Danio rerio: one gene and its partner. The protein of the gene in region 1 purifies or fractionates together with the protein of each later gene. This does not show direct contact. Links are inferred from orthologs where the notes say so. Each region holds a gene or a part of one and is shown on either strand. Other genes may lie near its edges.

Evidence for each region.
Region 2: the proteins of ift22 (region 1) and ift57 purify together in Homo sapiens (affinity purification with mass spectrometry; 3 studies listed by BioGRID and IntAct, counting the BioPlex papers as one, with this or other methods). This does not show direct contact. The link is inferred for Danio rerio from reciprocal best matches to the Homo sapiens genes IFT22 and IFT57.

The regions. Positions count from the first base shown.
Region 1 is NC_133180.1:31,318,766-31,323,242, reverse strand, and holds ift22 (intraflagellar transport protein 22 homolog), read left to right. Parts: upstream 1-1,411; 5' UTR 1,412-1,637; coding exon 1,638-1,676; intron 1,677-1,755; coding exon 1,756-1,838; intron 1,839-2,641; coding exon 2,642-2,731; intron 2,732-2,820; coding exon 2,821-3,023; intron 3,024-3,415; coding exon 3,416-3,564; 3' UTR 3,565-3,709; downstream 3,710-4,477. Other genes in the region: atp5l (ATP synthase subunit g, mitochondrial), read right to left, coding at 4,015-4,113. UniProt on the Homo sapiens protein: Small GTPase-like component of the intraflagellar transport (IFT) complex B.
Region 2 is NC_133177.1:45,219,836-45,223,661, forward strand, and holds the end of ift57 (intraflagellar transport protein 57 homolog), read left to right. Parts: intron 1-191; coding exon 192-311; intron 312-386; coding exon 387-458; intron 459-1,495; coding exon 1,496-1,627; intron 1,628-1,719; coding exon 1,720-1,782; intron 1,783-3,186; coding exon 3,187-3,253; intron 3,254-3,350; coding exon 3,351-3,529; 3' UTR 3,530-3,616; downstream 3,617-3,826. UniProt on the Homo sapiens protein: Required for the formation of cilia. Plays an indirect role in sonic hedgehog signaling, cilia being required for all activity of the hedgehog pathway.

The DNA of each region.
Region 1 (4,477 bases):
ACATGTGATTTTTTAGCTTTTTTATTTTTATTAATTTTGCAACAATTTCAAAAAACCTTTCTTTACATTGTCATTATGGGGTGTTGTGTGTAGAGTTTTTAGAAAATTTAATCTATTTTGGAATAAGGTTGTAACTTAAAAAATGTGGAAAAGGGGAAGCGCTATGAATACTTTCCAGATGCACTATAAATGAGCAAAATTATCCCACATAGAAAAACTTCTCTTGGCCAGTAATTAAGCTATTCAAGGTCTTAATTACTAAGGTGGGTGTACTCAAAACTTCCAGACAAACTGTCATTCCTCCAGAACCAATTTTAGTGACCCCTGGTATAGTGTTGGACATTAACTGTATGTTATGCAGACATTCAGGTTTTTAGCCTTTAATATTAATTAAGATGGACATAAATTCTCTCGTCCAAAACCTTCCTAAAATATTCAGAAAAATACAACAAACCAAAAGACCAAAATTCCAACACAACTAAAAACTCAACGATTTACTAGCATTCATTTTGAATGTTCATTTCACCCAATAAAAAAAAAAAAATCACACACTGATAAGACGTTTGGAGGTCAGTGGTCACTGTCTTGTTGACCAGTGTGCGTGTAAAACAGGTTTTTTCAGTAAAAAAAAAAAAGATGTTTATTTTGAGAATTAGTTGTAAGCTGCTAAACAATTCTGTGGGTGAGCGTGTTTATACTGCAGCAGTGAGCAATGAATCATACAGCTGATATGAACGAGTTTTCTCAACATTTTTTCAAAGAACTTCACACTTTTATAGTTTTTCTAGGGTAAAGTTTTTTTCCTTGAAACTAGCTACGTGTGGTTTAGGTAGGCCTACTATGAACGAGGTCTTTGGATAATTTCACATTGTCATAGTTTATGCTAGCAGCTCTGTGTTAACTTACCTATTTAGTTGTTAAACCTGCTTTCCTTGGCCGTACAGGTGTTGTGTTTGCAGATGACTTTACTGAAGACAAAAATGTGCGGAATTCGCTCAATTCACAGGCATGTCGGATTTGAAACAGATGTGTGCTGTCCTCATGTGGCTGTTAGAGGAAACACAACTCCCACACTTCAGACATAAAGCAACCTTTTATGATTAAGTTTCAAAAACTAAAACTGGTTTAGAAAAACCTGAAAAAATATACTTGTAAAAAGTCTGCCAATACTTAAAAGGTCAAACATACATGTCCCTTGTTAAACAAGTTGTAATATTATGCCTTTGTTTTTTTTCTAACTTTTATACCCTGATCTTATGTTTGTTAAGTTAGAAAAACGAACTCATATTTTGCTAGCTACTTCATATTTCCAACTATGTCGTTTTTAAGCGAATTTAGCGAGTTTTTAGCGAGTTTAGCTTTTTGGCGAATCTGCAGGTTTAAACTCTAGCATCATTGCCTTGGAAACGAGATGTTTATGTCAGCCATAAGTTAGCTTTAGCTCATTGTACGCTTTATGTAACGTTAGCTGCTTGTCGATGTCTGTTAAAATGTCGCTTTGATTTGACGCTTTATTTATTTGTCTTTTTTAACGTATACGCAGTAGAAATGTTAATTTAATAACAGAAGATAGCGTTATCTCGTTTGCTAAGCAGAATAGTATTTTTGCCTTGCTTCTATCGTTAACGTACTTCACCATGTTTAAGGTGAAAATATTATTAATTGGACCAAGCGAGGTAAGCAGTTTGATTGTCAGTAAAATGCGGTGTATGATTAATTCACTGTTCATCACTGATTGATATATTTTACTGTCAGTGTGGGAAAACAGCATTGGCCAATTTTCTCTCCGATACAACGGAATCAATCGGAGCTGATTACAGCCCAACACAAGGCGTTAGGTGGGTTGATTTAAAGAACTTATATATATATAGAAATAATATATTTATAAGTACACTATACATTTACTATAACGTTAGTTATCTGTGGTGTATTGTAGTATAATATACTCTATAGTTAAAGAAATCTGAAAATCTGAAATCTTCTATCTATCTATCTATCTATCTATCTATATATATATATATATATATATATATACATAGTTGAAGTCAGAATTATTCTCCCCCCTTTGAATTTTCTTTCTTTTTCAAATATTTCCCAAATGACGTTTAATAGAGCAAGGAAATTATCACAGTGTGTCTGATGAAATTTTCTTCTAGAGAAAGTCTAATTTGTTTTATTTTGACTAGAATGAAAGCAGTTAATAATAATAATAATAATAATAAAAACATTTTAAGGTTAAAATGATTAGCCCCTTTATTCTGTATTTTTTTCCAAGTCTACAGAACAAACCATCGTTATACAATAACTTGCCTAATTACCCTAACCTGCCTAGTTAACCTAATTAATTAACCTAGTTAAGCCTCAAAATGTCACTTTAAGCTGTATAGAAGTGTTTTGAACAATATCTAGTAAAATATTATATACTGTCATCATGGCAAAGATAAATAAAATCAGTTATTAGAAATTAGTTATTAAAACTATTGTTTAGAAATTTGTTGAAAAAATCTTCTCTCCATTAAACATAAATTGGGGGAAAATAAACTGTGGGGGGCTATTAATTCAGGAGGGCTAATAATTCTTACTTCAACTGTACACAGTTTTGTTGTTACTAGACACTCAAATATTAATTCTCCATCTTCAGGATTCTTGAGTTTGAATCACACAATTTACATAATGGCAACAAAAGTTCATCATGTGATGTGGAACTGTGGGATTGTGCGGGAGATTTTAAGTAAGTGGACTAAATATTAACCACTTTGCTCAATCAAAGTTGTTCATTTTTTTCCTTTGGTGAATTCATTCAGTATTGTATGTGCACAGGTTTGAATCATGCTGGCCAGCTTTGATGAAAGACTCCAATGGGGTAGCTGTTGTATTTAACCCAGATGTGCCCAGTCATCTAAAGGAAATTGAGACCTGGTACTCTGCATTCATCTCATCACAAGGGCTGCTGGAGGGCCAGTGTTTACTCATAGCACATCATAAACCAGGGAGTGGGGCTGACACGAACCGTCCATCATTAGGTAACTTCCACTATAGTAGATAACATTTAAAGTGGATCAAAAAAAGTTTTTCAAAATCATCCCAAAACAAGAATAGTTGTTGTTCAATAGCTTTAGGACAACTTTGATAAAAGGTTTTGATCCACTTTAGATGTTGACTATTGTATCTTTATAGCATCAGTTCTTTTAACGTGTCTAGGAAAAAAGATTGATTAAATAAACTATAATTAAATACATTAATGAATGATTGACTTAAGAAATTATCATTACATTAAATAAATTAATGATTGATTGAATAAAGAAAGATACTTTTGTAAACCTCTGGGCACCTCATCATATACATTATTTGTTGGACGCATGACATTATGTATCCATTATGAATATGACATTATTATAATGTATTTTCTTTGCAGCTCCACAGTTAAACAAACTGCCTCTCATTCACTCAAACCTTGAGGAAGAGCCTGAAGAGGTCCGACAGGAGTTCAACAAATACTTGGGAAAAGTTATGCGGATGCTATCAGAAAGCCAAGAACGTGAAGAGATGTCAATTATAACATAATACACATTTTGTACTTTATGTATATTAGATAAGTCTATACATGAAAAAAAATTATGTTAGTCCTCTGTTCGCCAATTATATTGTCAAAATGTGATCACGATTCAATTTATTATACAATCGCATTAAAATCACCTTGATTTAAGAGTAAAGGAAAGATTCTGTATCCTTCAATAAGGGCTCTCTTTGAAATCGCTAAACTAGTGTAAAAATTGGAAAATGCATGGATTCTACTTTAAATAGATCTACGATTGACAACCACAAAGCTTAAACGTTATTGTTAATTCACTGTACCGTTATACAGTGGCAAATATGTCCACTGGAAGTAAAGAACCTCAAAAGGGTGATATTTCGTTAATAATATTCATTTATTTCGTTCCTGGATTCCAAGAATCTGATAAAGAAAACAGACAAAGCTCAGCCAAGAGAACAAGCAAGCAGGACAGTCCACATTTATACATCATAGCCAATGAGGCCTCTCTTCCCAATGATCTCCCCGATGTAGAACCACATCAGAACTTCTGTGGCCACAAGACCATTCCTCACAGCATCCTGTGGCAAATAAAGGAAACATTACATGAATATTCTTGGAACTCTCATTGATACAATTTACAAAAAAGAGAATTAAAAAGAAAAGAACAGCTTAAATAATACCCTGTGAAAAACTGAATGTTCAGTTTGATAAGTGAAAAGAGCACAGAATAGTACAGTGCATTAATATTAAACTGAACTGAATTAAGCTTAACTTTAGCAGTGACATTTATACTAAACTGCACTGTATCAGTTTTAATTTAACTCTAACTACACAACCAGTATTCTGCCACTACTTCTGCCTGGCTGATATGCTGGAATGCTTATACAATCTGATATACGGTTATGGCTTTTTATCCTTTCTTCATCCATGTAAAGATGTTTT
Region 2 (3,826 bases), on another chromosome or scaffold:
GTTTTATGATGTGTTAAAATAAATTTGAAAGTGCAGTTTTTTTATTATATATTATCTATGCATGCGTAGACATTACATGAAACATTAGGTCATAAACAGTTTATAGAAAAGTCATGGAATTTTAGTAGTAAAAATGTGTATGAACCCTGTATGTAAAGTGCTCTATAACTAGTAGAAGTGTGTGTCTTTAGGAGCTCAGTGGTTCGAGGCCTGCAGTGGTTTTGGAGTCAGATGTTGATGCTGCCGAATGGAATCTGGAGGTGGAGCGAGTTCTTCCACAGCTTAAAGTCACCATCCGCACTGACAATAAGGTTGATGCTTGATGCATGAAAGGTGAATTAGAGACTCATTGGTTGAAGATTGAGTAACGGGTTACTGTGTTTCAGGATTGGAGGATTCACCTCGATCAAATGCATCAGCATCAAGATGGCATCAACACATCCCTGCAAGATGCCAAGGTCATCCATCAGTCAAAGATGTGTTTAAACAGTTAGCAAATTAGATAATAATAAGAAATGTTAAATTTATGTGTAGCATATGATTTTAAAAATATGATTTGTAAAAATGTTTAGAAAGGGTTCTTACTAAGGCAGCATTTACCTGATTACAAATACATTCAAGTAATTAAAAATGTATAAATTATTTCTGCAATGACATGCTAAGTATTTAGAAAACTTTACTATTATTTGCAGTGTGAAATTCAGTTTTGCTTTTGGGAAGTACAACTACAAAATAATTATATTTTTTACAATAATTGTAAATTAAATAATATTTAATATTTTTAAACAACAATGTATTAAATTGATTTGAGTGAGAGGAAAGAAAATGCTAATGTTGCAAATTTTGTGTTTAAAGTAAATAATTTTCTTTTGAAAATTCTGTTTATCTAAAAATTTAGTAACATTGATCAATTGAGGTTTAAAAAAGTAGCTAAAACTGTTTTCAAAGATTATTATATTAATAATAACTCTTAATAATAATTGGTCATTAATGATAGTAATTCAAATATACAAATGAGCATTAATGGTTTACAATCACACGAATAAACAACACTTTTAAATAGAAAACAGTTCTTTTAAATTGTAATAAATTCACTAAACTATAGGAGTTTGCATGTTCCCCCTGCCTTCGCGTGGGTTTCCTCCGGGTGCTCCGGTTTCCCCCACAGTCCAAAGACATGTGGTACAGGTGAATTGGGTTGGCTAAATTGTCCGTAGTGTGTGAATGTGTGTGTGGATGTTTCCCAGACTCAGAGATGGGTTGCGGCTGGAAGGGCATCCGCTGCGTAAAAACTTGCTGGATAAATTGGCGGTTCATTCCGCTGTGGCGACCCCGGATTAATAAAGGGACTAAGCCAACAAGAAAATGAATGAATGAATGAATGAATCACCAAACTATTACTGTTGTTTTTCAATCAAATAAATTCAGGCTTTATGTGCAAAAAAAAACACTGGAATATTGACTAATTCTGAAATGTATATGTGTATATTTTTAGGGTTGTCTGTTTAAGCTGAGGGAGGACATCAGCAAAACTCTGGAGAAAGTGAGCAGTCGTGAGAAATATCTCAACACTCAGCTCGAGCATCTTATTTCAGAATACCGGCAAGCACAATCACAGCTCAACAAGGTGAACAGCTCAACCAATCAAAACCCAAACGGTTATTACTCATAGAGTGGTCAAACATAGAGTTGTCAATTGCAAACACTTTTGTCTCCCAGGTGAAGGAGCTTTATCAGCAGGCCAGTGGAGGTGTCACAGAGAGAACCAGGATTTTGGCTGAGGTGAGTCTAAGCTAGCATGTTTTAAAAAAAAATTGCAGTAGTTCCTTCTTCCTTAATTTCAAATTGACAAATATTCTGAAACATATAAATTAAAGTAGGATGTGATTCGCCAATCGGGGAATTGATTGGTTTGTTGGATCTTTGTGGCGTGCAAATGCTCAATTTCTCATTTGTGACAGGTTGTTTGGTCAGGTTTGGGGAGTTTTTTTTTTCTCAGATGTTTTAAGCAGGTTTAGATCAGGACACTACAATGAAATGGATAGGCCATTTTATCATGTCAGTTTTTTCAGCTTTAAATAACTGCTATGCCCATTTTGCTGTTTGACTCTGCAAAAACTGCTTTTCTAAAAATTTTCTTTTTTTTGTCTTGTTTTTAGTCTAAATATCTATGGATTCTTAAATCACAAAGCATTTTCTAGACAAGCAAAAATTATTATCTTTTTAAAAGAAATAATATGCCAAATTAAGTGAGTTTTCCTTAAAAAAAAAGCTAAAATTAGCAAATGGGGTAAGCAAAATAATCTTTTTTTTTCCTTTTGACATAAGATTATTTTGCTTTCATCTTTGGCAGATTATTTAGCTTGCTTCAAGGAAAAAGAAGAAAAAAGACTAAACAAATTGCTGGCTGATTGATTGAGGGGTCATTAACACAACAAAATTGTCAGCCAAAACCAGGATTTTTAAGTGTTTTGTTTGTGTTTTTACATGGCAGCGTCCTTTTGGGCACTCAAAATGCATTGATTTGAAAACAAAGTGGAGGTTTTGAAAATTTTTCTGTAACCTTCCTTAGCCTTGTTCCTCCAGACAATCCTGTCTCGGAGGTCTACAGACAACTCCTTTGTCTTCATGCTTGGTTTGTGCTTTGGCACTGTCAACCCTGGACCTTATATAGACAGGTGTATGCCTTTTCAAATCATGTCCAATCATCTGAATTTACCACAGGTGAACTCCAATTAACCTGCAGAAACATCTCAAGAATGATCAGTGGAAACAGAATGTAGCTGAGCTCAATTTAGAGCTTCACGGCAAAGGCTGTGAATACAGATGTACATCTGATTTTTCAGGTTTTTTATTTTTAATAAATTTGCAACAGTTTCAAAAACTCTTTTTTCACATTGTCATTATGGGGTATTGTGTATAGAATGTTGGGTAAATAGATAAAGTTCAATAAATCAATTTTGGAATAAGGCTGTAATGTTAAAATGTGGAAACAGTGAAGTGCTATGAATATTTTCAGGATGCACTCTATTTCTGGTAATGAGAGGTTTTCTCACTGCAGGTTGTGTTGTCAGAACAGTTATGCTGTTAGAATAACTTCAAATAGCATAAGCAGTGACCTTGAATTGTGAAAAAACACTTTTAATTAATTCTCTAATTGTAATATTCATTATATTTGTGCTTCAGATTAGCGAGGAGTTAGACAAAGTCAAGCAGGAAATGGAAGAGAAAGGCAGCAGCATGTCAGATGGAGGTACAGTAAAACCACATTCTCACACACAACAACATTGACAGTGCGGTTTGTTTATGTCAGCGCTACTTCACACGTGTCAATGTGTTTTGTGCTGCAGCGCCAGTAGTGAAAATCCGTCAGAGTTTGACCAAGCTGAAGCAGGAGATTGAGCAGATGGATGTTCGGATGGGGGTGGTGGAGCACACGCTACTTCAAGCTAAACTCCGAGAGAAAAACAACATGACCCGAGACATGCACGCTACACATCTCTTAGAGCCCAATGCGCAGGCTTATTGAAACACACACTCACCGCCGATGATGTGTGAGTGTGCTAGATTTTCTATAAAGGTTTTTAATGTGTGTTTTTAAGTGTAAATAACAAAATATGTAGCATTGAATAATAAATTGAACACTTTCATTAGAAACTTCTAACTTGTAAAACTTGTACCTTACATAACTGTCCCCAGAGAAAGAGAGTGGGGTGTTGGTGGAATGATTTCAGCATTACACACACACACACACACACACACACACACACACACACACACACGCACACATGTTGTAACTCTTCCATGATGTCATCCTCGCGCATGA